Linked DNA regions of Tamandua tetradactyla. The protein of the gene in region 2 purifies or fractionates together with the protein of the main gene of each other region. This does not show direct contact. Links are inferred from orthologs where the notes say so. Each region holds a gene or a part of one and is shown on either strand. Other genes may lie near its edges.

What was found.
Region 1: the proteins of NAP1L1 (region 2) and MAGED2 purify together in Homo sapiens (affinity purification with mass spectrometry; 4 studies listed by BioGRID and IntAct, counting the BioPlex papers as one, with this or other methods). This does not show direct contact. The link is inferred for Tamandua tetradactyla from reciprocal best matches to the Homo sapiens genes NAP1L1 and MAGED2.

The regions. Positions count from the first base shown.
Region 1 is NC_135353.1:113,825,388-113,837,074, forward strand, and holds the start of MAGED2 (melanoma-associated antigen D2), read right to left. Parts: upstream 4,923-11,687; 5' UTR 4,795-4,922; intron 4,260-4,794; exon of another isoform or gene 4,136-4,259; intron 3,304-4,135; 5' UTR 3,279-3,303; coding exon 3,231-3,278; intron 3,125-3,230; coding exon 2,633-3,124; intron 2,010-2,632; coding exon 1,701-2,009; intron 1,582-1,700; coding exon 1,518-1,581; intron 1,253-1,517; coding exon 1,173-1,252; intron 686-1,172; coding exon 591-685; intron 1-590. UniProt on the Homo sapiens protein: Regulates the expression, localization to the plasma membrane and function of the sodium chloride cotransporters SLC12A1 and SLC12A3, two key components of salt reabsorption in the distal renal tubule.
Region 2 is NC_135333.1:144,962,947-144,974,558, forward strand, and holds the start of NAP1L1 (nucleosome assembly protein 1-like 1), read right to left. Parts: upstream 5,949-11,612; 5' UTR 5,768-5,948; intron 5,205-5,767; exon of another isoform or gene 4,998-5,204; intron 1-4,997. UniProt on the Homo sapiens protein: Histone chaperone that plays a role in the nuclear import of H2A-H2B and nucleosome assembly.

The DNA.
Region 1 (11,687 bases), on a different chromosome or scaffold from region 2:
CTCCCAGATTCTGCCTAGTCTATGTTCCAAGCTCTAGGTGAGCCTAGGTAAAGCACTCTTTACCAGCCTCCAATCAGTAAAATGAGAAAAATAACATCCTCCTCCTTCCAAGACGACAGAGAATGCCTGTCAATCTGGTACAACACAGGCACTCAGTCAATATGAGTCCCTTCTTTTTCTCCAAGAACCCTTAACCTTAACAGAATTCTAAGCACAGCCCCAAGGATGATTCTCTTGCCCTTCAAACATCATAACCTACCCACACCAAGAAGCCTCCTGTGAGAAGACTCTAACAAAGCCAGGCATGGCACACAGCAGGAAGAGACAAGCAATGGCAGGCTTGCTCTTCTGGGAAGCTTCTGGAGGGATAAAAAACCTGACAAGAATGCCCTAGCCCAGACTTATTCTATACCCTTCAAAATCAGGCACCACTATGAGTGTAGGGCTCCAACTACGCAGGAATTGGAATAGAGCATTTAAATCCCTGTCTTTCCTGACTCTCTAAGAGTGTATAAGAGAGAAAACATGGAAGGGATAGTAACAGACAAAAACAGAAAATCCTCTTCTACCCAATCCCTTCCCCAGCTTACGTTCCCAGTATGCCTGCATCAGTGGGCTCTAGGGTGCTGAGAAGAATGTACAAGTGGTCATTCTTATCGATTTCCTTCAATTGGATTCCAAAAACCTATGGATGGGGAGAACACCTCATGAGGCCAAAAAATTCAGCTTCCTAGCCAACCACAGTTCCCCATGTACCTAGGGTTTTGAGTGTCAGAAATAAGTGAGATAATGCATGTAAAATACTTAGCTAAGTGCCTGGCACACAGTAATCACGGAATAAATGCACTACTGTTTTCTATGCAATTAATGGGAATCTAAGGAGACAGAGAATGGGGAATGGAAGGGAGAGGTAATCATCTGAAATACATCACAGGATGCGTCCAATAGTGGACAGAAGCCACAACTAAGAATTTGGGTGGACTGGGTCCTAGCTGTGCTTTTACCTCTGACTGGCTATGTAATTCATGGCTAGTCTATGCCCCTCCCTAGGCTACCATCTTGCCAGTGATAGGGCTGGATTAGCAAGTATATGTGGTCCCTCCCAGAAGGGACATGTACACCTTTGTTCAGGGCTTCCCCATTGTGCCCATCCCCCAGGGCTACCCCTTCACCTTCTCCAAGGAATAGCCTGCTCGTTCAATGATTTCAGGGTACACATCAGTGTATTCTTTGATGATGTCCTTCAGCATGTCTGCAAGGGGAGAGTGTTGCGAGCACCTGGGCTGAAGAGAAGCCAGGCGGCCCCCATGCCCTGCCCAAGCTATAGACCCTTGCCAACCATGCTATGGGTGGTGTAGCACGGTTCTGTGCTAATGAACACAAATGCGAGCACTGCCAAAGTAGAACTACGGGAGGACACTGGTCTGAGCATAAGAGCAAAGGATGCCCCCAGCACATGGGAGAGAGGGCAATGGAGAGCAGAGTTCAGGGAGAGCTGATGGTTAGTAAGGCTTTACCTGAGCGCTTGATGGGGATCTTTGTCTGGTCTTTAACCAGCAAGTATTTCACCAAATCATTTGCCTGAGAGAAGAGGAAAAGATGGAAAGATCAGATATGTTTCCAGAAGATTTGAGAGCATGGCAGAGCAGAGGGCAGACAATGCAGTAGAAAAACCAGAGTGGAACGGCCAGAGTTCTTACCCTGCCTTGCAAAAGGGCTACATCCCGAGGTGGCAGCACTTGGGGTTCTTGGGATGATTGAAGCTTGGCGGCTCTACGACGAGCCTTTCCCCTACGGGCCTTAGGTGACCTCAGTGACAGCAAGGCTCTCCGGGCCCAAGCAGCCAACCGAGTCCTCGATGCCCTGCGGGCCCAAAAGGCTATGGGGCCCCTTGAGGCTCTGCGGGCCATTGAGGCCATTAGGGCCTTTGAGACCCTTCGACCACCTGTGGTTCCAGAAGCCTGACTCTGATCACTGCTGCCATCCTCTTCCCCATTCAGATGCTTCACCTGTATCAACAAAGAGGGAGCTCAACATCACCAGATGAAGCAGATGGTCATTTTTCCTCATGCTGAGACTTCCAGGAAGCTTCCCCAACCCCACCCCATAATAACAGCCTGCTTCACTAGCCTCTGGTGTCATACAGAGTCTTGAGTTTGTCTTTCACTGACTTCCAGGCAGGAGTTTAATCTCCCCACCAGGCCAGAAACACTGCAAGGGTGGGACGTAAGGCTTCTTCTCTTCTTATATCCACTACTGGCTCTGCCTGTACTACCCTGGACAAGTCACTTAATCTCTCTGTGGCTTAGCTTCCTTCTCCATAACACTAAGACTATGATCCCTAACTGGTAGGAGTTACCTTCAAAATTCAATGAGATAACCTGTGTGAATGTGCCTAGCTCAAGTCCTAACACATGGTAAATATAAACTGAATTATATTCAGATTGCAACTAAGTATATTCATATCTCATCTCTCCCCCAATGTAAGTTCTCTGAAAATACGAACTATATCACATTTCTCTCAGTGTTCCCACAGTCTTGAAGAGCACAGGGAACCTTGGTAACTTTTTATATAACAAATGAACCAACAGGGGGAATGGAAACGCCAGGGTGGAAACTACAGAGCTCTTACCTTTCGGGCTTTCTTGGCCTTGACTTTGGGCCGGGTATCCTGATTCTCCTGAGCCTGGGCAGCTGTATCCTCAGACTCAGGTTTATCTGCCAGAGCCTGAGAGGCAGCAGCCTCAGTTTCCAGGGCCTTTGTAATGACCTGGGTGCTACCCATACAGCTGACCTCTTTGGGCTCACTGGCAGGTACTGTCACAGCCTGCGAGTCAGTATTCTGCATTTTAGTGTCAGCAGGTGGACTCTTGCTGTCAGCTGCCAGAACCTGGGTATCAGTAAGCTGAGTGGTAGATGAGGCCTGGGTAGCAGCTGCCTCCTGAGACTCTGGGGCCTCTGAGACCTCTGTGGTCTTTGAGGCCCCTGGGGTATTTGAGACCTTTAGGGTCTCTGAGACCTCTGATGTCTTTGAGGCCTTTGGTGCCTCTGAGACCTCCAAGTTCTGAGTCACTGTCAATAGGGTCTGCATCATCAGGCTGTTTTCTTCTGAAGCTTCTTCAGCCTGCAAGAAGAGGAAGCCGGAAAGTTCAAGAACCTTCTCCCCACCCCCAACTAGGCAAATGGCTCAAAAATCCCAGGGCTGGGAAGAGGACAAGAGGTGGCCTCACCTGGAGATGGGATGGACCCGCACCACCACTCTCACTTGCGTCAGACATTTCTCAAATTGCCTAGCAAAAGAGCCTGAAGGAAAGAAAGCCTAGGTCAACGGCAGAGCTCACTGAACGTACTCTTCCGTTTTCTGCTTAAGGCTGACCCTCACCTTCCCTAGGGCCCCAATCCCACACCTCCCCCATCCCCAACCGCAACGACTTCGTTCTCAGATAAAGGAATCCAGAGCGTCTAGAGCCCAATTCTCCGCAGCCGCACCCTCCCCTTCTACAGGAAGATGTGCCAGCGCGGCAGCTCTAAGGACCCCGCCCCTTTTCCCAATGCACCCCCAGCCGCAGGTCGATAGTACGCATGCGCGTCCGCTGCAAGGCCCATCTCAGCTCCGCCTACTTTTCTAACACAAGCCCTTTCTTTGCGGTCCACCGTGCACATGCGCACTCGGCAGCAGGCCCGTCTCCCGGTCGGCCCTTCTCTACACGCCCCTTTCTAGCGATCCATAGTACGCATGCGCGCTGGTAATGGTCTCAGCCCAGCACCCTTTCCCAACACACGCCTCTCTCCAGGTTTCCAGTACCATTAGTTCCCGCCCCGTCTCCAACAAGCCTCTCACCCAAATTATCCCAGTGTCTGGTGGCCCCGGCCCCTCCCCAACTTACACCCACCCCACCAGGTCCACAGTGCCTCCTGGTCCCGCCCTTTTTCCTAACACACCCCCCTCTAAATAGGGCAAAGTGACCCTTCCCTAATACATCCCCCTCCTCAGATCAGTATTGAACTAGTGGTTCCATCTTGCGCCGGGCCAAACCGGGTCCAGTGCCTTCCCTTCCCAGCCGGACGGATCCAGTATGATCCGGTGCTTATGGCAGGTTTTCGCCAGATCCCAGAGGGTGGGGCCAACACCTACCCGGTTCTGATCCGAAGCTGGGCCCAGCTCACCTCGTCCTCCTACAAGCCCCAAATTGCGTGCGATCTCTCCAAGCCCCTCCGAAACTCGAAGACTGCCCTCCCCCCTTCAGGCCGGAAGTGGTCCCGCCCCTTTCCGCCTCCCTAGGGGGCCTCAGTCCCAGCCTGTCTGCCCCTCCCCCATTCCCTGCTCCTCATTCCTTATTCCCCACCCCACCCCCGTAGTCCCTCGTTCCGTATTCCCTATTCCCCCATCACGTTTTCTGTTTGCCCCCACGGAATTTTCTATTTCCATTCCGTACATCCTCCTCCGTGTTACCTATGCTCCCCCACCCCCCACTATTCCTTAATCCCTCTGTGCATCCCTATTCTCTTCTCTGGATCTCCATTCCCCTTCAGTGTTCCCCTCCCCCGTCGTACACCGCGTCCCCCACCCGACATGCCGGATTCCCGGTTTTTCCCCTCCTCACCCGCTATTCTCTACTCCCCAGTCCCTACAGCCTACTACTCTATCAGTCGTCGTAGCTGCACCCCACTCCGGGTCACGTCTCCGCCAGCTGCAGTGCTGCAGTAAGAATTGCCCACCTGCCTAGCTATGGGTTCAAAGAAGCTGGAACCACTGTCTAACTGCGAGGGAACCCCAATCTCAACGACCCTCACCTAGTCCGCGACCGAGTCCGGAATGCGTCTGCCTTCTCTCAGTCCTTCTCGAAGTCTCAGACTCCAGGGCTAAAGCTGCAGCCAGCCCAGCCCAGCCCAGCCCCTTTCCGCAGCCCCCTGCCACCCCACCCTTCGCCTTCCTCGGGGGTGGGGCAATGGGGCCCGGCTCAAGGCTGTCTGACGCCAAAGCCCTATGCCACTGTACTAGGCTTGGTCTGAAGCCTTTCCAACCAAAACCACCCCCTCAAAGCCCTTCATTCATTGAATTTGTTTATTTTTATATCATTATTTTACCTTATTACAAAGGTACTGTCTTGTCGTGAAAATTCTAATAATGCAGAAATATATAACATACCAGTGAAGTACTGCCCTTATCCCATCCCCCAGAAATAACCACTCAATATTTTGACATGCATCCCACCAGCTTTTTCTATTCATATACTTATTACTTGGGTTTCCCCCCACAAATGGCACACTTATATGGTACACAAATGGTACACTAGTCATTCGTGAACTAGATTTTTTCCAGTTATATATTCTGAACATCTATCTCAGTTCACATTTTTCTTAGCTGCATGATCTTTTCTAATATACTTGCTCCATAATTTATTTAGCCAGCCGAGTATCCATGGACATTTAGATTGCTTCCTTTTTTTTGGTTTTATTTTTGTTTGTTATTACAAACAATGCTACAAGGAGAATTCTTGTATCTGTATCCTTCTGCAATTGTGCTTGTATCTGTAGGATAAACTCATAGAAGTGGAATTGCTAAGTCAAGTACTAGAAAAGTTTTCCATTTTAATACAAGATTTGCAGACTTGCCTCCCCAAAATATTAAACTGAATAATACTTTCACCAATGGTATTTAGCATATGTTTCTATGTCAAATATGTTTGTTATTTATGGTATGTTTTGCTAACCCAAATGCTACAAAAAGTCTTCCATTTTGATACAAAATTTGTCAAGTTACAGCCCAAAAGATACATGGAATAACATTCCCAGCAATAATGTCCTCATATATTTATGCGCTGCATATATTGCAAATACTGTTCATGTTATTTATGATCATTTTTGCTATACAAAATAGTTTATTATTTACTCAAATATATCAGTTTTTTTTCCTTTATCATATCTGGGTTCTGCATCATGCTTAGAGATGCTTTCCACACTCCTAAACTACAACAATTCCTGTTTGTTTTTTTCAATCACTTTTTTTTTTTTTTTTTTGCATGGGTGACCACCGGGAATCAAACCCAGGTCTCGGGCATGGCAGGCGAGAACTCTGCCACTGAGCCACCATGGCCCACCCTGTTTTTTTCAATCACTTTTATGGCTTTATTATTTACATTAAAATTTTTATCATTCCAAAATTTGCTTTAGTAAAAGGAGTGAGGTAGGGAATTCAGTTTTATTAATGTCCCCAAATCATAATCACTATCCATATATCATGTACAAACTAATCCACTCTGCTATTGATCTGAAATGATGACTTAATCACACATTATTTTGTTTCATGGCTGCTAAATCAAATACCATGCAATGAGTTGGCTTAAACAATGGGAATTTATTGGCTTAGTTTGGAGACTAGGAGAAGTCCGAAATTAAGGAGTTGTCAAAGCAATGCTTTCTCCCAGAAGACAATTATGTTTTGGGGCTGGCTGCAAGAGATCGCTGGTCCTTGGCTTTTCTGTCACATAGCAATATACATGGAGGCCTCTCCAGGCCTCTCCTTTACTCTTCCAGGTTCTGTTGATTTCCAGCTTGTGGCTGCTCCCTGTGGCTTCTCTACCATTTTGGCCTTCCTTCCCTATAAGGTCTTCAGTGATAGGATTAAGACGCATCCTGATCCAACTGAGACACACCTTAACTGAAGTAACCTCATTGAAATGTCATATTTACAAGGGGTTCACACTGATGGGAATGAATGAAGTTTAAGAACATGTTTTTCTAGGGTGCACAGCTCTAAGCCATCACACATATTAGATTCACATAAGTAATTAACTCCATGCAAGAGAACAAAATAAAATGTATAAATAATGGAAAATAGACAAAATTGTCATTAATTAACCTGGAAAACCCAGGAATATCATCTTAAAAATTATGAAAAACCATAATAAAATTCAGCACAGTGGTCAGTTACAGAAAAAATAGTCAATATCTTTCCTACATGTAATTCGATGTAATTCAAATGGCCACAAAGCCTTCTGCTTGATGGCCTTTACTAAACAGTGAAATATCATGAGTCCATATATTCCATGGACAATTTAAAACATGCGCATACTCACACATTCCCAGGCATTCAAGGTAGGCTTTTGTTCTCTTGTCTCCTCTCTCTCTAAATTGCTGCTTCCTCCAAGTTTGTGACATCAGCTGACCACTTTCCTGCTCCCCATCCACCAACTTTATTTCACACCAGACACACTACCTTAGCCACTATCTCCAGCATTTTAAGTGTCAAAATATCCTTTCTGATCCTCTTCATAAACATTTGCTAGGTGACTTACAGCAGGGGAGAGTCTAACTGAATAGCCAAAAGCCAATTTTGATATTGTCATAAGGCATCATAGGATATATAATTATTTGTGTGTTGTAATATCAACATAAAGTTAGCATTTGATTTTTATTACAGCAATGTATATATGTGGCAACAAATAAAATAGTACAGAATTTATGATAAAAACCAACAGTCCCTGCCTCAATCTTCCCCATCCATCCCACTCCCAAGAAGCAATCTTTAAACCATTTATTATTATTATTTTTAGTTCTACTGGCAATACCCTTCAGTACTCTAGATAATATACATATCCTCTGTTTCTTAGTTGATAAAATTTAGACAATATCCCACTGACTCCCCAGTATGGAAATGAGGGTTTTGTTTATGTACACTGCCTCATTTTTCCCTCCACTCTTCTGCAACATTTAACAGTGATACTCTTTTGTGTTTTTCTCTTGGTTGATTTAAAAATATAATCAAATCTTTATTTCTCGTTCCATCCATTTTTGAGACTGTCCACTTTTTAGGACAAGGTTATTAGTACCACTACCTACCTGCTGCCCATACAATGTATCATACTGTCAGTTTCATTATTCCTTTTACATTATCCAGGTTATTAACATTTATATTTTGCTCTGCAGCCACAACCAAGTCTTCTCTACTTTGCCCCCCGGTTGACTCTAAAACCTGAAAATCAATAGACAGCATTTACATTATCGTGACATTGTAAATATTTTTCAAAACTCAGCCAAGTAGAGAGCCAGGAATACATTTCCTTCTCTACAAGTCCATGTCACAATCCCTGGGCCTCTCAGAGTAACACGTCTCTAGCATCGAGGTCAAAAGAAAGCTCCTCTTATACTCCAGCTGTTAACAATCATACTATATTTTGTTTTGCTTAATATTTAGACTACGATTTTTTAACAGTCCCCCCCTACACACATAGAGTTTCTAATAACTTTTCTTTTTTCCTTGAATTATTTGTCTTTATCATATTCAGTCATTCAACAAATATTTATTGAGTGTCTGCTATGTGCCAGACACTGTTCTACGGGCTGAGGATACAGCAGTGAACAAAACAGATAGCAATCCTTGCTCCTTTGGAATTGATAGTCTAGAGAGAGAAGATAAAAGTCAGTGCAAAGGCCCTAGGTTAGGACTATGTCTGGCACTTATTTTTTCCATGCCTGGCAATTTTGAAGAGTATAAAGATCAGTGTTGCTAGTGCTGGGGAAAGTGGGAAGGGAAGTAATAGGAAATGTGGCCCTATAAGCCACAGTGAGATCCACAGGAAGATTTTGAACAACAGAGAGACAGAAAATGACTTGGGTTTTAAAATGGATTCCTCCAGCTACTGTAAAAATACACTGATGGGGGTGGGAAGGAGTGACAACAGCAAAAAAAGAGGACCAGTGAAGAGGCTGCTGCAGTAATGGCTTCGGTTGGATCCACTGTTTCCTACATTCATTGTTCTGGATACCTGTCCTACACATAACTTCTAATGTGATTTAATCAAATTCTCCTCCATTGTTTCTATTATGTCTGTCTGGGATTTCCATTCAGATATTAAGCCTGCTAGATTGGTTTATGTGTCTTAAATTTTCTTATATTTTCTGTTTTGTTTTGTTTTGTTTTGCCCTATATCCTGGGAGATTTCCTGTACATCATTTTCCAGTCCTTCTGCTGATTTTTTTTTATTTCACCAATTTATTGTCAATATCCAAGTAGTCCTTCTTTTCTCTTATTGTTCCTGTATTGTAAAACCTAGTTTCTTTTTAAAAAACAGTTTTATTCATACACTGTACAATCCATTCAAAGTGAACAATCAGTGGTTCTTGGTTTAGTCACATAGCTATTCATCACAACCACAATCAATATGAGAACATTCTCATTTCTCTGAAAAAAGTATCCCATACCCCTTATGCCCCCTCCCCATGATTGACTCAACTTTGGTATAATGCCTTTGTTACAATTGATGAAAGAATATTTCAATATCACCGTTAACTATAGTCCTCCGTTTGCATTAATTGTATTTTTCCATATACCACCTTATTATTACCACCTTATAATAGTGATGTACATTTATTCTAGTTCATGTAAGAACTTTCTTATATTTGTACAATTAACCACAGTCATTGTCCACTATAGGTTTTGCTATGTTATACAGACCCACGTTTTATCCCCTAGTTTTCCTTCTAAAGACATACACGACCCTACACTTCCCCTTTCAAACATACTCACGCTCAGCACCGTTAGTCACTTTACGGTATTGTGCTACCACCATGTAGTGTTGTGTTATCCATTTCTGAACATTTACAATCAACCTTATTAAACCTTATTTACAGATTAAGCATCAATCTGCCCATTCTCTACTCTCTTTCTATCACCTGGTAACCTATACTCTAGATTTTAGCTCCAAGAGTTTGCTCATTATAATTAGTTCATATTAGTGATACTATATGATATTTGTCCTTTTGTGCCTGGCTTATTTCACTCAACATAATTTCCTCAAGGTTCAGCCATGTTGTTGCATGCATCAGGACTTAATTCCTTCTTATAACTGCATAATATTCCATCATATATATCTACCACAGTATGGTTATCCATTCATCCGTTGATGGACACTTGGGCTATTTCCATCTATTGGCAACTGTGAATAATGCCACTATAAACATCGATCTAAAAATGTCTATTCACGTCCCTGCTTTCAGTTCTTTTGAGTATATACCTAGTAACAGGATTGCTGGATTATATGGCAGTTCCACATTCAGCTTCCTGAAGAATCGCCAAACTGCCTTCCAGAGTAGCTGCACCATTCTACATTCTCAGCAGCAGTGAATAATCATTTCTATTTTCTACACATGCTTTCCAGCACTTTTAGTTTTCTGTTAGTTTTTATTATGGCCATTCTGGTAGGTGTGAAATGATATCTCATCATGGTTTTGATTGCATTTCCCTAATAGCTGGTGATGTCAAGCATCTTTCCATGTGCTTTTTAGCCATTTGTATGGGACCTAGTTCCTATTATATGGATGTTAATAACCTTGCTGAGAATATTATACATTTTATTTTCTGAAATTCTCTTTTGTTTCCCAAATTCCAGAATTCTTCTGGGGTCAGTTGTTGCAGTTATCTTAGTTCTTTGTTTTCGTATTGGAGATTCCCTTGATTTGCCTGAGGATTCTTGGTTATCCATTCATATTTAAGATAAAAGGATTGGGTAGCTAATGTAGGCTCCCTATGTAAGCCCGTTTTCTAGCTAGGGATCTTTCCTGTGAGGAAAATCTGTCAGAAGACTTTATGTGGACTAGGGAAAGTGACAACTGGCAGGCTTTAAGGAGAACATGCTATGGGCCCCCCAAATGCCAGAATGAGGAGACTTTTGTTCTGTGGTGCCAAATGCCATAACACCAGTCTTAGTGATCCCTAGGTAGTTTGTAAAATGTCATGAATTTTGTCTGAAGGAAAGTATTGGAGCTGCAGTTGCTTTATGTGGGCAGAAGGGGGAAAAATAGGGGTTGTGACTGATGCTGATGTCCTATACACAGACGTTCAAGTGATTTCCTTCATCTCAGCTGCACTCCTCACTCCCACTCTTCACTGTACCTCCAGACACCAAATTCAGAGCATCACTGGGTTCTCACAGGTAGACTGACTCCCATCAACTCAACATCTCCCCCACTGCTCCCCCAACTCAGTGGGTGTGGTAGTTAGATTCAGTTGTCAACTTGGCCAGGTGAAGGCACCTAGTTCTGTTGCTGTGGACTTGAGCCAATGGTACGTGAACCTCATCTGTTGCTGATTACATCTGCAGTCGGCTAGGAGGTGTGCCTGCTGCAATGAATGATGTTTGACTTAATTGGCTTGTGCTTAAATGAGAGAGCTCAACGCAGCACAGCCCAAGCAGCTCAGCATACCTCATCTCAGAACTCACAGCTCAGCCCAAGCCTTTGGAGATGCAGAAAGGAATCACCCTGGGGAAAGCTGTTGGAACCCAGAGGCCTGTAGAGAAGGCCAGCAGAGATCGTCCTGTGCCTTCCCACGTGAGAAAGAACCTCAGATGAAAGTTAGCTGCCTTTCCTCTGAAGAGCTAATGAAATAAATCCTCTTTTATCAAAAGCCAATCCGTCTCTGGTGTGTTGCCTTCCAGCAGCTAGCAAACTAGAACAGGGGGCTTCACATGCTTTTGATCTCAGTTATGCCCCATTCTGCTCTAATCTTTTTTATATATATTTTTATTAATAAAACAACATAAAAGCACACAAGCATTCTTAACATACAAACATTCCATACATGGTGTAAAAAGACAAAACTCTTACATACTATACCCCTTAACTCTCCCTCTCATTGATCACTAGTATTTCCATGTACCCAATTTATTTTAACCTTTGGTCTCCCT
Region 2 (11,612 bases):
CCGAAAGACAACTGCAATGAACCACCCTTAAAGGGAATGTAGTAAATCTGGAAAATAACTAAATAGGAGCTCTAGAAATAAAAATAAAATTAAACTAAGTAGGCAGATTTAACATTTGATTAGATACAGCTGAAGAGAGAATTAATGAGCTCGAAAGCTCAGAAGAAATCTTTCAGAATACAGCAGAGGCTCAAAGATGGAAAATAATGAAATAAGAATTTAATTTACAATCAAGTCTAACATTTGATACGAATTCTAAGTGAAAAGGAAGGAATGGAGAAAAGAAATTAATAGCTGAGAATTGTCCACAACTGATTAGATGCCAGTCTAGACTCAGGAAGCCCTACAAATTCCAGTAAGAATAAAAAGAAATTCCCAGTATAAAGGCAGAACACAAAAGATAAGTCACCTTAAAAGCACTCATCTAATACAAATGAAGGTGAAACAGATACTATCAAGCAAAAATATCTCTAGCAGACCCTAAATAAAACATTCAAAGGTATATTCTTCAGGCAGAAGATAAGTGTTTTCAGATGTAAGGCCTAAGATGACAAGAAAAATGTGTGCATGTGGGGGGGGGGAGAGGAGAGAAGTAAATGGGTGAAAGAATTCTAATGCATTTATGTATGCATGTTTTTGTTTCTAGGACAACCTCCAAAAGATTAGAAATAGAAGATATAACTTCCAAATTAGAAAATAAAAGCAAATCTTTAGTCAACCCCTAAAAAGTTAGACAAATAGCACAAAATAATCAAATTAAAATCTACCCATAGTAACTTTACAAAATGTAAATTGATTTACAGGATCCCATTTAAAAAAAATTGTCAAGCTGGATTTTAAAAAACCAAATTATTGACAATTGTTGAGAATTTCAAAGAAAAATACAATCCTAAATCAAAAGAAAGTTGGTATCATTGTACTAAAGTCAGGGAGGAAAAGCACAACCACCAAGCTTTAAGAGAAAGTATTATTAGAGATAAAAGGGTCATTTTATAATAAAAGGTTCAATGTACTACCCAACATATGTAATGCACAGAAGATATCCAGGAGAAAGAAAAGCCACCAGTTCATAATAACATGACCTGAAGGAAAGTCTTGACCTCAGAAACTTAAAACAGTAAGAAAATCTACCACTGGGAAAAAAGAGGGGAAGAGGGTAAGTCACTAAATCACACCACAATCTGATCACTTTGAGGTGCTGAAAACAGTCACTTTTCCAGACACATACTATCCATTAAAGCTACTCACCACCAATAAAGTAAACTTCATTCTGAATAAACTCCTCCTTATATTCAATGAAAAGCAAGAAAAACCATATTTATGGAATGCTACTGTTTAAGGGATTTTATAAGCTTTCCTCATACTTGCAGGTAAAACATTACACACCATGCTCAGTAACACCAACTAATAAAAGAACAAAGATTAAAAATGTGGCCTTCTAAAATCTACTTCTGGTCTCCTACTGCAGAAAGCAGTGTCCCCCCAATCAAGCTACTGCTACACAGATTATACAGTAACAACCTGATTATTAATCCTTTACAGAAAATGACCAATTAAAAATTACAAATGTTTTAAAGCTAAGAATTCAAAGGAACCAGGAATGTCCCAAGTATATTAATTTTCCTCTCTCTCAGCTTTTGTCTATTCTAAACGCACTGTGCTTAATAAATCTATTTCAGACACTGCTGTCCTCTTAATAGCATTTTCAATGATGCAGTGGTTCAGTATCTTATTTGGTTCAAATACAACCTTAAATTAGAATAATCTATTCTTCAGGCTCACTTTTCAATTTCCGGGATATTGAGTCAATCCACAACTGACCTTTGATTAATCTCCCAAAGCAAAATGGACACTTATTTGAAAACACCGTGTCTTCTGCACAAGGGTTCTCAATACCTACGGTGTTACCTGATCCAATAGCAGAGAAACATAGCTGAGTTGAAGTTAGGTCTCAAGTGCAAGGGAAGAACAGTATGCCTTACCTAATTGGCAGTGTTTTTTTGTTATACTATATAAACAATCATTCTTAAATATCCCAACTCTCTAACTCAAATATGGGAACTGATTCCACCTGGCATGGAGAGAACACCTCTCCAGGTAGTCACCAAATGCTGGCTTCAAATTCTCACTGAAGGAGAATTTCTCCTTTCACTGGCCCTCAGGTTACAGCCCCCTTGACTATCCCTGATATTTGCAAAAAACTCACCAAACCATTCCACATAATATATTAACAGGTACAAACAATTTCATCAGAGAATACGTACAACAGGCAGTCAGTCATAAGGCCAAGAAGCTACTATACCAGTGGTAAGTAAATAGATTTGACACTGGAAGATCTCATCATCACGAAGAAGTGCTGAAGGTTTCCCCTGAAGCACAGCGAACCCAAGAAATTTTGAGTGCTTCTCAAATTTCAAGCTGATGTACAGATGTACAATTTGAGAACTGTCTTTAAAAATCAGTAGTCAGGCAAACACTAAATATCACCATATCATTAGTCACACTTACTGCTTAATCATGTAACCTTGGATAAATCATTAAACCTCTCTGTGCCTCAGTTTTCTCCTTTTTAAAATGCTAATAACAATAAAAAAAAAAAGCTAATACCACCAATTAGGAGCACCAGATGAGTTAACTCAGAATTTAAAACAGCACCCAAATAGTCATCCATTAAATATTGATTATTACACTATTTACTACACTATGCCCTCTTCACTTGAGTTTTCTAAGGTATTTTCAGCATAAGTAATTCCGTGTTCCTCAAAACTAAAGCTTCCTATTCGCATAAAAATTCAAATACATAAAACTTCTGAACAGGCGAGAGCATCAAAATATGTAGCAGTGAAAAACAGAACTGGTAACCAGAAGTATAGAGGCCATTTTCTACACTAAGTAACTTGAAACTTCCAATCCTCAACAAGATAACTTCTTATTCAGTTCAAAACTGGTCTGAAATGGGACTTATATCACCACTATAACATGTTCCTTCAAATAATGACCCTTTCACTTTTTTCTTCATAGCACCCATCACAACTTGACATTTTAAAACTCAGTTAGGTAACCGATTTGCCTGCTTTGCTCACAAAATAACCCCTAAATCTAGAATACGTGTCAAAATAGGTAAAATTATTTACTCAAAATCAACTAAAAGCAAACACAATTATGGGTTTGGTTAGTCTTGAGAATTCAAATAATCAGTATTTCTATACCGATTAGGATTGATTCCTTTTGATCTTATCTTCCATTAATACTTCAAATTTACAATCGAGCAAAAATGAACAAAGTAAGCAAACTAGTGTTTTATTTCACTTAACATTTATTAAATGCCTGTTATGCGCCAGCTAATACTTCAGGCTCTGAAATATGTTCTATAACTACTTGCGTAAGTATGCTTTAAAAATTGTTTTCTTTGCTTCATATATTTCACAATAAAAAACATTTTTTTTAAAAAAACTAAGCTACATATACTCGTCTTAAAAAACCCCAGATGGTTATTTTACAGGGTGGAAACTAGGAAAAGAAATGTGAATATAGAATTTTTTAAAGAGCCAAGCTATTAAGAGTATGCATGAATGATAACCTCCTTCAGTCTTAAAGTCTGAGATTCTGCCTCTTTTACTTCCTTCTAATAAAAGAACCCTTTATTAGAAAATTTCTCGGAGTTTAGAATGGAATCAGTCACCTGAACCAACATGGACAAACTGGAAAATAGAGCAACATTTTGGATTATTTCTGATGGAGTTGTTCTTTTATTCTCATTAAGGAACAAGGACAATCAATCATGTGTGTCCTTATTAGGTTAATAATTCCGTCAAAATATCAGAAAGTTATTTTGCAACAGATAAAATTTACAAAGACTTTCAAAGTGGTATGGTGAAAACTTTGTAAATGCTAGTTCACAAATTAATATAAACAATGTCCTGAAAAGAGAATCAAAGATTATATAATAATAGATGTCCAAATCCACCTTTCGATGTTTAGGCCCATTGTTTTCCCAAGAATCTGCAAGTCTTCTTAGAACTAAATTAAACAGTTTAGATGTGGGTCATTTATTTGAACTTGGGGAACTTCAAACCACCTTGGTACTAGATCTGTGATAGTCACTGAAGATTCATGTAAACCTCATTTACCTGTCACTTTTAAGTTATTCTGTACATAAAGTTATTCTCTTTTCCAAAGGCCAAGGGCATTACATCATTAGTAAAAGTACTTATAGGAGTATTAACTTAAATTGACAATAAAGTAGGACCTAGATACTAATTTGAAAAGATGTTTTAACCTCATCTACATGAGCAAATTCCCTTTTACAGCATTCCTGAAAACAGGCAAGCAGTGTATGTTTGTGAAACCAGCTAGTCATTTCAGTACTAACTAATCAAGCAGTGATAGTCTGAAACAGTTCTTTGACTACCCTTCCCATACAGGTTTTTTTTTTTTTCTGAAAGCCCAGTCCTCCCAGACAGGACCCCAAACCACTGCCTCACTTTACTAGCTCTCCCCAGACTTCTGAGGACAAGGAAGCATACTACAAATTTAGCTCAATAAATTTACATAAACGCCTCATTCTAATACATACTCCCCCCACCCTCTCCATTCAATTTAAGAGCAAGATGGTTAGTTAAGTATCTTATTCTGGGAATGTCAATAAAGAAATTTCTAAGAAATTATAGAGAAGTCATAGAAGAATTAAAGATATTACAGGCCAAATCCTTTATTTCCATTTTAGAATAGTTTAGGTTTAGACTGATCAGAATCAACCTTTCTTCCTCCAAATAATCCTGGGTCAAGACAACCACCCACTCAGTTTCTGTGCTTTTGAGATACACTATATAACAACCTTTTGTTAACACGCGCTAATTCTTTAGAATCGTGGCAGTAGCGGTCCTGATCCGCACTGCCCATCAACTAACATTCATATCCTCCTCCCGTACAAATAGAAAGATTAAGATCAAAGGGAAGAAAAAGGGAACAGTTTGAGCCTCAGGGGCTGAACTTACTTGCTCCCTATTCATTTTCCTAGCCCACGATCTCAAAAACTTTAGTTAAGTAAGAACAACCTAGACAGGGGTCTCTAATCAGGCGCAGACGACAGCCTCGAAGCCCATCACCACGTGTCGAGGGACGCCGCCGGGGTTTCCCCTCCTAGCTCCGCCACCGCCGCCCGTGGGCGGAGAGCCGGGAGGCTCGCAGCCTCCCCCGCCCCCTCCCAGCCTTAGGGCCTCCTCCCTTCACTGCCCCTCCCACCCGTCGGAATTCGCAGCCTCCGCTGTTCTTTCCATCCCCCCGCGACCTCCCTCCGGGAATTATTTTTGAGGGTGAAGCGGGGGCGTCGAGGAGGCGGCGGGCTCCGTACTAGGGCCCGGCCCGCACCAAGGGTGCCTCCCGGTCCCTCACGGCACTACCGCTGACTTCTCAGGGCGTCCAGGGCGCGCCGCGGCCTCCCTCTGTCCACACGGAGAAGCCGGTGAGGCACGGAGGACCTCGGCGCACACTAGCGCGACCGGCCGCCACAGGCCTCGCGGGTCGCCAAAGGCCGCACCGACCCTTGCGTCTCCTCAGCAGTCCCTGAAAGAAACGACGGCCAGTCCTGCGGCCGTCTCGAAGGCTGAGGAGTCGAAATTCCGCGGACAGGTCCGACCCCACAGCACAGCCAAGGAGAACCAGGCGCCCACGGTCCCCACTTTCAGTTCCCTGTTCTTCCCTTCCCTCTGCGTAGGCCGTTCGGCCAACTCCAGGTTCCCCTCCCTTCCAGGCCCCCATCCGTTACCGGCAGCTAGTACGGGGAGCCAGGCGGCCGAAGCTGCGCAGGCAGTGACTCAGGGCGGCAGCAGCAGCGGGAGGAGCAGGAGGCGGCGCCGCGAACAGATGGCGCTAAAAAAGACCCAAGAGCCCGCCGCACGCGCTCATATACAATTAGCGTCAGCACGTAGACTCGCTCCGCCGCCCTCCTCCCGGCCTCTCCGTCTCCTAGCAACGCGAGGAGGAGGCGGGTCCAGGCCCGGTTTCCTAGCAACAGAACTGTCCCTCTTCCCCCGCGGCCTCCACGCTCTTGCTGCTGGCTCTTCCCGCCCCGCGGCTCTTACTTGGCGCTCGGACTCCCCCGGTTCCCGCCTGTGACTAACCTCTGCTTCCTGCTACACGCTGCGTAGTCTCTTTTGCTCTCTGCTACACTGGGAAGGAATTCTCAACCCCATGGTTCTAGGTTGAGGCTCTGATTCCGGCCTCATCCATGGCCCAAATCGCCCCCCACCCCCAACCCTCAGCGTTGTCCGGAATGGGGAAGGGAATAGGGGGAGGGGGGCCATCCATCTTTTGCCCCGCTTGCCGCATTCTGCCGTAGTGTGCGCCTCAGTCCCTGTGTAGATCCCGGTCTTATTCTTGGCCTTAATCTTGCAACTCTGTGGTAAACATTTTCCGTCTCTGCCGTATTTTTCTCTTAGAGCAACAGTTCTTCCCCCGTGACCACCTTTGGTGGCGTCTTCTTAGCTCAGCGTGTCTCCAGGCCTTCCCGGGTGCGCCTCACCCGTACACCCTCCATCTTTACACCCTCCATCTTTACCTGGCATGAGAACCCTCGTTTCTACTTTGGTTCTTTTGATGGATTAATGTGGCGTATTGTTTGGATGTTTTTTTTAATGAAAACACTCACCATATCCATAGCTTTCCTCTTTCTCTAAAAGAACAAACTGTATATCCTTAATCGTATGAACCCACAGGCTGTTTTTCAATTGATACTGGGTTGACTAATTTCAACTCCTTAGAACAGTGATTCTTAAGGTGTGGTCTAAGGGTCCTATAGACCCTTACATGGGGAAGTCAAAACCGTTTTCATAGTAATAGTAAGACATTATTTGGCTTTTGCACTCTCATTCTCTCGGAAGTGTACAAGGGAGTTTTCTAGTGGCTATAGGACAGCGTCGTATGGCAACAGATGGAAATAGAAGTAGATATGAGAATCCAGCCATCTGTTAAAAGCGAAATTAAGGAGAATTGCAAAAATGTAAAACAATGCCAGTTTTCTCACTCGATTTTTTTTGTTTTGGAAAGTATTTTTCATAAAACATCTTAATATTTGGTTTACTGTTTAAATCAATGAATGCACATTTAAAAAATGTCTCAGTTTAATTTCTAATGTGGTAAATATCAATATATATAACACACATGCACAGGAACTTTTGGGGGTCCTCAGTTTTTAAGAGTTACTGTAAAAAAGGCCTGAGACCAAAAAGTTTGAGGTCCTTTACTCTACATATTGCAGTCTTCAAACTATCTGAAATAATCTATTATAATCCTCATGTATAGCAACTATTTCTGTTCCATCTTAAAGGATATAGTTATTTTCTTGGCAGTCCCCAACCTCACTGAAATTAATTTCCTTTCCCATTGCACATTACAGATGCCCCAGTTTACCCAATCATTTTGGTTCTTCATATCTGAGAGTTTTATTTTTTCCTGCCTTCTTCATATACTACTCCACCTTGATGTTAGGATAACCCTAATTATAATAACATCAATGATGACTCCTCATGAAGAACCCACTATACATGAAGTAGAACAGTTCTCAAACTGTACATAAACTTGGCATTAATTTTAATGGCACCCTCCAGATTGTCATGTTCTAATCAAAGTTATCCACAGTCCAAGGTAGTTAGCATATTAAAAATGAAGTAAATAATGCTCACCTGCTTTCCATAAACCTTCATGGTGGGAGAATTTTTGAAACAAAATTGAGAAATTAGACTTTATAATGGTTTCTATCCCAAGGGAGCCCCACTAATTTCAGACACTCCAATGTCCTAAGGCTCCTAATTTCTTAGGTTCCACCCCTCCCCCCATAATTGAGGATTTACAATTATTAGTTTACATACTTTCTTTCCTCTTTTCTCCAGCCCACTCCTCTAGCTTCTTTCTCTAGCCTCCTCTTCCTCTCCTTTTAGTGTATACTAGCCAATGTAAGAAACTTACATGCTAATAAAGCCTGTCTTTTAATTGTGGTCTTTTGAACCAGTTTGTAAATCTAAACCTTTACCATTTAAGTCCAGAAAAGGCCAAACATTGCTGCACTCATTCAATAAATATTATGTATTGGCCACAACTTGAGACCCTTGGAAGTGCAGCAATGAACAAGACAAGGTTCCTGATTTTATTGAAGTTTATAGTGAGGGGGAGCAAATGATTAACAAATAATGAAATAATTTCAGATATTGGTAAGTGAAAGAGCTATGAAGGAAATAAAATGAAACAAAAGGGTAAAAGGTGATTGCTCTGAAGATACCACCGTGGTTTTTTTTTTCACATCAACCCCTGTTGATCTCCAAAATTTAGTTACAGTAAAGGGTGTTGCTGAACTTGGGTCATGCTAAACTTTCACTTGAAGTTCCTTTTTTCTTCATACCCCATGTTTTTCATTTGGTAGCTGTTTCAGTTTGTTAAAGCTGCCAGAATGCAATGTACCAAAAATGGATTGGCTTTTATAAAGGGGCTTTAGTAAATTACAAATTACAATTCTAAGACTGTGTAAATGTCCAAATTAAGGTGCCAGGAAGAGGATACCTTCTCTCAAGAAAGGCTGATCACATCCAGGGTTTCTTTGTCAGATGGGAAGACACATGGCTACACCTGTTATCCTTCTCTCCTGGCTTCTGGGTTCACATAGCTCTCTTAGCTCCTTCTGCCTCTCCAGATGTCTGTGTCTTGGTTTCATCTCTCTGCTGTCTGTGTTGGCTCTGATCTCTGTCTCTCTCCCCATGTGTTCTTTTAAGGACTTCATTAATTAAGACCCACCTTGAATGGGTGGGGCTTCATCTCCATGGAAACAACCTAATAAAATCTACAGTAAGTCTGTATCCACAAGATTAGATTAAAAGAACATGGCTTTTCTGGGATGCATAATAGTTTCAAACACCAGCACAGTAGCTTTTTTTTTTGTATGCTGTATAGTGGGTTCATATTTCATTCTTTTTCCCATGTGAGTATCCCATTATTGCAGCACCATTTTTTGAATTTTTGTTTGGTTTTTTTCTTTCTTTGCTTGTTTGTTTTGGGGAGATGCATGGTCTGGGTATCCCGCATGGCAGGTGAGAATTCTACCACTGAACTACCCTTGCACTCCCACAGTAGCTTATTATAGCATTGTATCCTAGTGGTTTAGAGGTGTGGCTTTGAAATCAGATGTGACTTTGGAGTCAAAAAGCAGGTTCCCTCCCTATTCCACTGTGTGATTTTGAAGCAAGTCACTTAAACGCCCTAAGCCTCAGTTTCCACATCTGAATCCTACGAGAGACAAAAAAGTTCGTTCCTCAAAGAGATGTTATGAAATTTTTAATAATACATGTAAACTGATAAACATAGTGCCCAACACATACTGAACATTCAATAAAAAGCTCACCATTATGAAACTCACTGATGTGTTTTTTATTTTTGTTTTATTTAAAGGTTGCAGAAACATCTCTGAAGTCTTCTAATAGTATCCGATGTTCTTTTTAATTATTACTTTATTAAAAGCTATCTTCTCACAAATTTTAAAACATTTTCCTGAGCAGAAATAATCCATACCAAATTACCACAAAAATATTATATTCAACATATTTAGATGTAGATACTGTAGGATTCAACCACACAAGATGGCAAGAGTATATTGTGTTCTATGTCTGTATTTCAAACTTGCATAAATTTTCATCCAAATACTCTGTGACTTTGCCTCAGGATTTCCCATCAGGAAAATTAATTAATAATTCCACTGAAAACTGCCTCTTTCATAGCATGAACTAGAAAAATGTATACAAGCCCCACAGCAATGACTTGCGCTTTAAGCACTAGTTTAATGTTCATTTTTTTCCCCTCTGAGCTAATCAGTATATAAAGGTTCCAAGAGCACCAATAATAATCATCATCTAAAAACTGCTCAAGACACATTGAAATAACTACTATTATATTAGTTGTAGGTCTGGTTGGTATTATTTTTCCAAATTAATGTATAAATGCAACATAAATCAGTCAAAATTCGAACGGGAACCTGTGGACAAGGTTTCTTAAATTTCTCCCTCTACATCTGAAGCAGGATTAATAAACATTTTCATTGGAAAACACCTTTATTGTACCTTCATATTTAAATAGAAATGTTTATATAGTCATAGATTCATATGCAGTTGTAAAAAATTATAGAGAGATCCTATGTAAACCATAGCCAATTTCCCCCAGTGGGAACATCTTGCAAAACTATAGTTCAATATCCCAACTAGGATACTGACCTTGACACAACCCACAATCTTATTCATACATTCCAGTTTTATGCAGACCCATTTGTGTGTTTGTGAATTTAGATCTATATAGTGTTACTATATATATAGATTTGTGTATCTACCACTACAGTCCTATTAACACAAAGATCCTTTATGTTGCCCATTTATATTGGCTGTTTATTCATTTACATGCTATGGTACCACTTACATGAACCCTATATTTTATAACTTTGAACTATTCAGGAGAACCTTGTTCTAGTTTGCTAGCTGCTAGAATGTGAAATACCAGAAACGGAATGGCTTTTAGAAAGGGGAATTTAATAAGTTGCTAGTTTACAGTTCTAAGGCCGAGAAAATGTCCCAATTAAAACAAGTCTATAGAAATATCCACTGTAAGGCATCCAGGTAAAGATACCTTGGTTCAAGAAGGCCAATGAAGTTGAGGGTTTCTCTCTCAAGTGACAAGACACATGGCGAACATGGTCACTGTTTCTCTTTCATCTGGAAAGGCACATGGTGAACTCAGTATCATCTGCTAGCTTTCTGTCCTGGCTTCCTGTTTCATTAAGCTCCCTGGGAGGCATTTTCCTTCTTCATCTCCAAAGGTCGCTAGCTGATGGACTCTCTGCTTCTCGTGGCTGTGTCATTCTGCTCTCTCAGAATCTCCAGCTTTCTCCAAAATGTTTCCTCTTTTATAGGATTCCAGCAAACTAATCAAGACCCACCCAAATAGGTGGAGACACATCTCTACCTAATCCAGTTTAACAACCACTCTTGATTAAGTCACATCTCCAGGGAGATGATCTAATTACAGATTCAAACATACAGTACTGAATAGGGATTAGAAGAAATGGCTGGATTTATAAAGTGGGATTAGGATTAAAACATGGTTTTTCTAGGGTACATACATTCTTTCAAACCTCAACACGCCAGGTGTTTTCAATGCCTTCTTCTCTCTCCTCTTCTACTTATCCTTCAAGGTCTAACTCAAATGTTCACTTCTCTTGGGAATCTTCCCTGATGCACCAAGGCTGAGGTGGTTGCACACACTTCTACATTTCTAGATAATTCTTATAATTGTTACGAGCCCATACTTTCCTCTCTCCCAATATGTACCAAATTCTTAGTTGTGAAAAAGCAGTGTCCTTGTTTTTGTTCAAACCCCTAGTTTGGACATGACTAGCAGGGAGAAAACCTTCAAAAATGTTTATTTGAAGGGATAAAATGAAAGGAAAGAAGGGAAAAAGAAAAGAAAGAAGTCATTGAAAAAAACAGGAAGTCACAATAACCTTATATAAATAATCCTTTCTTGCAAAGACCATTATATCAATTCTATGTTTAGCATAGAGTCTATGGAAGAAAATTCTGTCA